2 linked regions of the Arabidopsis thaliana genome follow. The protein of the gene in region 1 interacts with the protein of each later gene in a pairwise test. Each region holds a gene or a part of one and is shown on either strand. Other genes may lie near its edges. The genes, in order: AT5G44040 and TOPP6.

What was found.
Region 2: the proteins of AT5G44040 (region 1) and TOPP6 interact in a two-hybrid assay, tested with the Arabidopsis thaliana proteins (one large-scale study listed by BioGRID).

The regions. Positions count from the first base shown.
Region 1 is NC_003076.8:17,718,882-17,723,329, reverse strand, and holds AT5G44040 (eisosome SEG2-like protein), read left to right. Parts: upstream 1-1,723; 5' UTR 1,724-1,981; coding exon 1,982-2,065; intron 2,066-2,172; coding exon 2,173-2,366; intron 2,367-2,461; coding exon 2,462-3,434; 3' UTR 3,435-3,671; downstream 3,672-4,448. Other genes in the region: AT5G44050 (MATE efflux family protein), read right to left, coding at 187-474, 562-846; CESA4 (cellulose synthase A4), read right to left, coding at 3,766-4,353.
Region 2 is NC_003076.8:17,419,188-17,424,130, reverse strand, and holds TOPP6 (type one serine/threonine protein phosphatase 6), read left to right. Parts: upstream 1-2,148; 5' UTR 2,149-2,304; coding exon 2,305-2,479; intron 2,480-2,561; coding exon 2,562-3,121; intron 3,122-3,199; coding exon 3,200-3,421; coding exon of another isoform or gene 3,422-3,448; exon of another isoform or gene 3,449-3,795; coding exon 3,796-3,834; 3' UTR 3,835-4,186; coding exon of another isoform or gene 4,187-4,201; 3' UTR 4,202-4,341; downstream 4,342-4,943. Other genes in the region: AT5G43390 (plant/protein), read left to right, coding at 1-1,191. UniProt on the Arabidopsis thaliana protein: Serine/threonine-protein phosphatase that possesses phosphatase activity toward para-nitrophenyl phosphate (pNPP) in vitro.

The sequences.
Region 1 (4,448 bases):
TTCTATAATAAGTTAATCTAACATCAATGAAGAAATGGTAGTTTTACTCATCAATTTCACACGGAAACTGATCAATATTTTTGCAAACACTGTCTACCCCAAAAATAGAGCCGTCTAGTTCACAAGATATTTGGACTAACCCCCACCGTTGTGACCAACTGACCTTTCAAATCATAAGTTACATACCGAATTTTTAAGCTGGCATTGGAGGAACCGGTTGATAGGGAAAAAGAAGGCAAATGAGAAATGTGTAGGAATGGCCCAAACAGAGATGATACCGGAGAGCTCTGCGATGTCGTCAGGCTGGCCCATGAACTTAAGAATCGGAGTCGCAAAGATGTACATTGGGAGGAGCAAGATGGAGAATAAGAAAAGAACAATCCAAGATCGCTGCAAATACACTCCAAACATGTCATACTTCTTTGCTCCAAACGCTTGACCGCACAGCGTTTCCAACGCAGTCGCCATTCCAATCTGCATATAAACATATATAGTTTCTTAACAAATTAAACCCAACATTATAATATAAGCTACATAAAAAGTATTGTTGCGTATATATACGAAGAGGCTATAGTTGAAGCCGATAATGACGTTGTTGACGATGGAGATGGCAGCGAGTTCTAGCTCGCCGAGGTGGCCAGCGAAAGCCTGAGTGATGACAAAGATCAAGTTGGTCGTGACTCTAGTGAATATAGCTGGTCCGACAATACGCCACAGCTTCTTCGTCTCTAGCCATATCTCTTTCTTTATTTCTCCGTTTTCCTCCTCTGCCACATTTTGATCCTTTAACAAAGGAATCTTCGCCTTCTCTAAAATACCTTCTGCTTCGTCGTCTCTCTCTCCCATCGCCGATCTTCAGTAAATTAACAATAAAAAAATAAATTGAGTAGATTAGAACAGCCAGAAAATTGATGATATAGGCTTTGAGTGGGACGACGCGGCACACCTGACACCTGTAAGATGTTTTTTTCCACGTTTGTTTTCAAACTAAAACAATAAATATATTAAAATTATACAATATGTGACAAATTCTTTTCTTTTGGACAGATATGTGACAGATTCTTGAAGCAGTATCACCACAAAAATGTGATGCTGATATGCTTTCTTTAGTTTAAAAAAAAATATTCATCTGAATCTAAAAATTCAGGATCCGGAAGCGGATCCATCCCAATTGGGTATCCAGCTTTTCAAATCGGATCTCGGATCCGAGTCCGATTATTTAGTCCCAACCCTAGAAAAAACTAAAGGAAAATATAAAAAAAAAAGAAACATGAAAACAAACTATATCTATAACCATTAATGTCATTTTAGGGTGCAAGCTTTAAAGGTTTTCATTCCCAACTGAAAATCTCTAAAGGGAGAGGAGTTTGGATTACATTTAAGTTAAACCAACCAATTAACCTCAGTAAATTTACTTATTAGAAACATCACACCAAGCTTTTCATGACCAGATTTTGTTTGTTGGACTTTTTAATTTAGTTGAATGTGACCGTTCACACCAAAAGGTCCAAAACTATATCAAGCTCGTCGAAGTTAGAGGATATAAAAACTTTAGTGGACCAATAATAATTGGGTTTAAAACGGCCCATTATCTCCAATTTAAATAATATACCTTCTCTTCTTTTTTTAATAAAAGCCATGGCCCACATAACAACGGTCCAATTTCACAGTCTAATAAATCAGACTTGTAACGGTCATCTACTTTTACTCCGCCAAAATTAATAAATTATAACCTGAAATTAGAAAGAGAAAAAAGGAAATCTAAAGAGACAAATAAAAAAGGAAATCTGAAGAGACAAATAAAAAAGGAAACCCTAAACCCCCAAATCCATGAGTACAACACTTCTTCTTCTTCTCTCTAAGTCCAGTTAAAAATCATCTCTTTGCAATGTTGACTCTTTAATCTTCGATTTATAAGCTCTCGAAGGAATCTATTACCTTCAATCTCTCTCGTTGTTAGCTCTTTGAATTGTAGAAGAGAATGGGTTGCTTACTTGGTTGCTTCGGTCGTCGGAAGAATCGTCGCCGTCAGAGACGCAGAGAATCTTTTCAGCCACGTTTAAACGTAAGTTCTTCTTCTTAGTGTTGATTTGCTGCAATTAAGCTAATTTCAGCTTCAATTTTTTGTTGGGTTTTGCTTTATCTGAAGTAATTTTGTTTCGTTTTATGTAGAGAATCTCTGAGGAAGCTGCAAAGGATGTTCTTTTGAATCTTAGGGTTCCTACTGTTGAAGAAGTCCCAAAGTATGCAAAAGATTCAACTGTTATGGAAGTCCCTAAAATCTCGGAGGTGTCTCCAAAGGATAATCATGTGAACGTTGTTGAGAAAGTCCCTACAGTTTCTGTAACTCCGATCACTGATATCTGGTAAGTGTTGTGGTTTTGTTCTTTCTACTTAGATTCATGTTTTGTGTTTTAGCTCAACAGATTTGACTTATTTGATTCTTTTCTTTAAACTGCAGTGACAAGGTTGAGGAGAAACAGAGTCCGAGTCCAAGTCCAAATCGTAAGAGAGTAACTTTTGACACCAATGTTAAAACATATGAACACATTGCAGTAGATGAATCTGTTGAGCTCTTTGAAGAGAAGAAAGAAGAGGTGAAGTCGAGGCAGGCTCGATGTTCGTCTGAAGGGAGCGATGTTACTTCTAACTCGTCAGGGTCTTATCCTTCTAACCATAGATATCAGAATTGCAGAGAGAGTGATGATGAAGAGGAGGATGTAACGGATTGTGACGATAGCGATCTTGAGGATACTGATGATGATGATTGTGGGCTGCTAGATGATGACTATTATAATGATGACAATTATGAGGACAAGCTGCACAACTGGGATAAAGTAGTTTATACGGAGGAGATTGCGGATAATGTTATGGATATAGAGAGGGTTGAAGAAAAGGGTAGTGTGAGTGTTAGAGACAGAAGTGGATATGTCAATGCAGTACTGAACCCGATTGAGAATCTTTCCCAATGGAAAGCTGTGAAAGCCAAAGGAAGAACAACAACTCAAACACAGCCTCGGAAGGAGAATGTGATAATTGCTTCCTTCAGCTTGGAGTCTCAGGTTGATGATTTATCATCAACATTCAGCTTGAACCGGAAATCAAGAGATGAAACTGAGAAACAGAGAACTCAAGAAATAGCTGTTGATGCTAGTCTTTCAACTTGGTTATCCACATCACAAACCACGACCAGCGGTTGTAGCAGTGTTGAAACCACAATGTCCGAGAAGAAGAAATACTCGAAACTGGTTCAATGCCATGATGAAAGACCTATATTGGGCGCGTTAACTGCAGAGGAGATAAAGCAGTTCTCAGCTACGAATTCGCCAAGGAAATCGCCAAGTAGAAGCCCTGAATCACCGATAATTGGAACAGTTGGTGGTTACTGGAACAGTCACTCAATGGCAACGAACAAGTACAGTCGAAGTTCTTAGAACTCCAATTCCACAACAGAGAAAGAATTCCACACATGTTTGGTTACTACATTGCCTTTGTGAAATTATTTTTATCACTCTGTTTGTTTGTGTGTGTGTGGTTGATAACAAAATCGTTGTGTTTTGTGTGTGATTTGATTTAGTAATATTCATTCTATTTGTTTGTATTTTACAGAAATTTGTCTACTTTATTTCACAAGTGAATCAAAGTTTTGTATTTTTTTTCCTCCTTACAAATCCATATAATCCAACAAAGAACACCCAAATCGGAAAAATAGGCCAAGCAAAATGGCTCAAAATAGCGGTCCAAAACGAAAATGCGGTTCCTCATTTAACAGTCGACGCCACATTGCTTCAGTAACGGACCAGTCTGTTTCGGCAAGAACGGATCAATCCGAACCCAAACCAAAGAGAAGATCGAAGCGAGAAGGATAGACCAAAGAACAACAATCGTCGGTGTTCGGTTTTGTCTACCCATCAAACCTTTGAGGAAAGGATAAAGATGAACAATGACCCAAAACGCGAAAAACAGTTTCCCAAAAAGCGGTCCCCAAGAACCATATCCATTGTTAATAGCGTCAGAAACTCCGGCAACAACACCGACCATGTTGAGAATAATGAGAGTTGTCGGAGGGATGAGAAGGGTTGTCCATTTAAAGAGGTAAAGATCTCCAAACTCATCGGCTTCGTCACTGGCTCCTTTTGACGTGACGGTGAAGTTAGTGTCAACACCAAAGAGAACTTTAAGAAGACCTTGAAAGACAGCGAAGAGATGAGCTGAGACACCGCCAATCACCCAGAATTGCTCGTTACGCCAGAGGTCATTGATGCTTACACCACTCCACCGGAGTTCTAAGATAGCCGTTGCAATGATTGATAGGAACAGAGCTAAGAACCATATGCTTGCGAAATTGTTGATCTGAATCAAAAGAGAGCAAAAGGGTGTTAATAAAGTATAATCATTTCTAATTGTCAAAAAAAAAAGTATAATCATTTCTTCGATTTTGTGACAAA
Region 2 (4,943 bases), 300 kb from region 1:
GATTTGGAGTATTTGAATACAGATAATTTGAACAAGATTAGTTTAGCTTCGAAATGGTGTCCTTCTGTTGATTCTTCGTATGATAAGACTACTTTGATATGTGAGGCTATTGCTAGAAGAATGTTCCTTAGAGAGGAATACGAAGAAGGTATCGAAGAAGTGCATTATGCATATAGGATTAGAGATAGGTTGAGAAAAGAAGTTCTTGTCCCGTTACATAAAGCTCTTGAGTTGCCAGAGGTGTCTATGAGTGCCAAGGAATGGAATCTGTTGAAGTACAATAGAGTTCCTTCTATAGCCATGCAGAATTATAGTTCACGCTTTGCGGAACACGATAGCGAGAGGTTCACCGAGTTTTTGGAGGATGTGAAATCCGGGAAGAAGAAGATGGCGGCTGGTGCGTTGCTTCCTCATCAGATTATCAGTCAGCTTTTGAATGATAGTGAAGGTGAAGAAGTAGCAGAGCTTCAATGGGCGAGAATGGTTGATGATCTTGCCAAGAAAGGGAAGTTGAAGAACTCATTGGCGATTTGTGATGTCTCGGGAAGCATGGCTGGTACACCTATGAATGTTTGTATTGCGTTAGGGTTATTGGTTTCGGAACTTAATGAAGAGCCGTGGAAAGGGAAAGTTATCACTTTTAGCGAAAACCCGCAGCTTCATGTTGTCACGGGTTCGAGTCTGAGAGAGAAGACTAAGTTTGTTAGAGAAATGGATTTTGGAATCAACACAGATTTCCAGAAGGTGTTTGATCGGATTCTAGAGGTTGCTGTCGAGAATAACTTAACCGATGAACAGATGATCAAGCGGTTGTTTGTGTTCAGTGACATGGAGTTTGATGATGCAAGAGTAGACAGCCATTCGGAAATGAGTGACTACGCGAGTAACTTGGAGAGTGACTACGAGAGTGTCCCGGAGAGTTTTGAGAAATGGGAGACGGATTATGAAGTTGTTCAGAGGAAGTATAAAGAGAAGGGTTTTCAGAATGTTCCTGAAATTGTATTTTGGAACTTAAGAGACTCGTCAGCTACACCCGTGGTGTCTAAGCAGAAAGGTGTAGCTATGGTTAGCGGGTTTTCGAAGAATCTACTGACTCTGTTTCTTGAGGAAGGTGGGATTGTGAATCCTGAAGATGTCATGTTGTTAGCCATTAAAGGTGAGGAGTATCAGAAGCTTGCTGTTTATGACTGAGAAGTTTTATTCATTTAAATATTGGATTTTGTGAGTACATGAATGAATCTTGTTTAAGTTTTTTTTTTTTTTCTAAGTACCTATGTCTAATAAGATACAGCTAAGAAAATGAAATGATCTATAGAAGTCATAAGATGAGGCATCACTCTTCGTTTCCTCCTAAACTTGGAATCTTTCCTTTATATCTTTTGGTTCTAATAGAAGAAAAAAGGCAAAAGCCAAACTAATATTCTCCGAGCTCTCTCTTTCCTTGTTATTCCTGAGGTGTCCTCTCACATCCGGTAGTTTCATAACGAATATGTTCTTTGTCATTGCCAAGTTGCTTAAGATGATGCGAACAAATCAACGAACAAGGTTTTGTGAATTACTCTGAATCCAAAAACATTGATACTGTGATGGAGAAAGAACGTTTTTTGTGCTCTACTTACACGCAAAAGTATCTTGAATTCGATTAGATTCAAGCCTAAAAAGCTCAACACAAAGAAAGTGTCTAAACTAGCTAATATGTTTTGACCATAAAAGAGAAAATATAGCTAACATTTTTGGTTATTAGATGTAGTTGAAGTTAGAACAATTAGGGTAGGTTTTTACCCATGGCTTTTGGCTACAAAGGAAGAAGAATATGTTTTTTGTAAATAGCCAAGTTGCTTAATATGACGCGGACGAATCCAAAAACATCGATACTAGAAGAAGAAGAAAGAGCGTTTTTCGCACTCAAAGTACCGGCGGAAAGATCTTAAATTTGAATCATGACGTACCGGACAGGATTCAATCCTGTGAAGCTTAACACACACACAAACAATGTGTTACTAAATTAGCTAGAATCTGATTATTATATGATTTAGTTGAAGTTAGAACAATGTAGGTAGGTATGAACACATGTGACTTTTGCTAAAAAGGTATGAAGAATATATTCTTAAACGCGGCTTTATAAAGCCCTTCTTGAATTTGACAATCACCATTCTTTTTCTCAAAGAGCAAGCATAAAAGAACATAAAAGCTCCATACTTTTTAAATTTATTCCATATTGTCAATAGCTTTTGTATATTATAAAGCTTCTAGGCGTTGTTGTTGTTTTGTCTCATTGTTGCTCTGTTTCTTGAGGTTTTATAAATGGATCCTGGTACTTTAAACTCGGTGATCAATAGGTTGCTTGAAGCTAGAGAAAAACCAGGAAAGATTGTTCAGTTGTCTGAAACAGAGATCAAACAGCTCTGTTTCGTCTCTAGAGATATCTTCTTGAGACAACCAAATCTCTTGGAACTTGAAGCTCCTGTTAAAATATGTGGTACGTTTCTCTCTGTTTCTCTCTGACTCTTTTCTGAGATTGTGCTCCTATGTAATCTTTTGGTTAAACAAATAATAAACAGGGGACATTCATGGACAATATCCGGATCTCTTGAGACTATTCGAACATGGCGGATACCCTCCTAATTCAAACTACTTGTTTCTTGGAGATTATGTCGATCGCGGCAAGCAAAGCCTCGAAACGATTTGTCTTTTACTTGCTTACAAGATTAAGTTCCCTGAAAACTTCTTCCTTCTCAGAGGAAACCATGAAAGTGCATCAATCAATCGTATTTACGGCTTCTATGACGAGTGTAAACGTAGATTCAGTGTCAAGATTTGGCGAATCTTCACTGATTGCTTCAACTGTCTCCCCGTCGCTGCACTCATCGATGAGCGGATTTTTTGTATGCATGGTGGGCTCTCCCCGGAGCTGCTAAGCTTGAGGCAGATTAGGGATATTCGTCGTCCAACGGATATTCCTGATCGTGGTTTACTCTGTGATCTCTTGTGGTCTGATCCTGATAAAGATGTTAGAGGTTGGGGGCCTAACGATCGCGGAGTTTCTTACACTTTTGGATCAGATATAGTTTCTGGATTTCTTAAAAGACTCGATCTTGACCTCATTTGTAGGGCTCACCAGGTTTGTTTATTGTTCCTTGTGCCCAAAGAAACATTTTTAACGTGTTTCCTTTTGACACAAGCAACGATTTTGTAACAGGTTGTTGAAGATGGATTCGAGTTCTTTGCGAATAAGCAGCTCGTAACGATATTCTCTGCGCCGAATTACTGTGGGGAATTTGACAATGCAGGTGCGATGATGAGTGTGTCTGAGGATTTGACCTGCTCTTTTCAGATCTTAAAATCTAATGACAAGAAATCAAAGTTCAGTTTCGGAAGCAGAGGTGGTGCTAAAACTAGCTTCCCTTATCCTAAAGTGAAGGTATGTATTAATCACATCACTTTTTAATTTGTGGATATACTGTAGCACAAAAAATGAAATATGGTAAATGCATAATAATTTGCTCTATTACTAAATGTTTTTGAATGATTTAACATTTTGAATCTGTTTGTGCTCCTCAATAATTTTAAATCTATTCGCATTGATAGATGAAACTTTGGATTAGTATTGACTTCACCGAATTAGACCTAATGTTAGTCAAAACTAACACTGTGGTATACTTGAAAATTGGTTTGCTATGTTTCTCACTAGTAACTTACAAGTAATTTATAGCCAAATCATTGTTGTCATGTCATGTTACAAGGCAAGCTCGGAATCTCTAACCATTTGATCTAATTAAACATGTTTATTTGCAGTCGATTCTGAGTTCGCAAAATTCGAAAGAATACAACTGATGAAGATTTAAAACTCCGCATAATAACTATTAGAAACCATGCCAACGTAACTCGACTACTATATGATGAGAAATTAAAGAGGATTTTGAATTTCGGAATTTTGGGAAGCTTCTGTTTTTGTTATGTTTTGTGTTGTCTGCTGCTATCACTTGTGTGTATGTGTTTTTATTTTTGGTTGTTGTTGTTGTAAATTTGGTTTGTAGTTGTTGGTGGTTAAATTTGATAATAAAACATGATTTCCTTCGGACCAAAGATATGTTTTTTTCTTTCCGGTTTGCATCTTCTTAAGTTGAAGGCACTTTTTGGCTAGCTAACTCTTGTGTCGATTGTGTGGCCAACAAGGCTTCTGCAGGATTGTAATTGGTAGAATGGATCCGGATATCCTAGAATTTGAAAAGTATTCAGAACTGTGCTTTAACAATCCAGATCCGTGACTTTTGGATATCTGGTTTCTAATATTGCAGATACCTAGAAAACTAATACTTATATATCTTGTTTTAATACATAATCATAATTGAATCAATTTAACTTGACATATCATTATAATATTGCTAGTGTTAACAAAATATTAAAATGATGACTTACCCATGTTGTACCACCGAGTTAATGATATTTAAATTTATATTAATGAAGATTCAAACTCGTCAAACCATATAACCCATACCGTGATATTTTAAACTTTTTATAAGTTAAACGTTGATAATATTTTGAAGTTTTTATACACTTTAAATAGATCAATTATAATATTTTAATTTTTTAAAAAGTTTAGAATTTATGATATCTGGTATAATTAAACGGTTTGACTAAAGAACCGAATTAAACTGAACAAATATTTAAATTTGGATGTTTGTTAAGTTAGGATTCCTACTCACTCATATTTCTTTGGGTTCAATTTGGTCTTATTTATGAGATTTTGGACACAAAGTTTTAGCTGATGTGAGACTTTGAACACAAATAATTTTATTTCATTATGTGAGTAATATATGGCTGTTTTCAAACATCCGAATCACAATATATCCAGAAAAAATTAGATTTTAATTAGTGTTATGTATTATATGATGATTCAAAGTAGTTTAAAAAATAAAAAAAATGATAGAAAAATCATAATT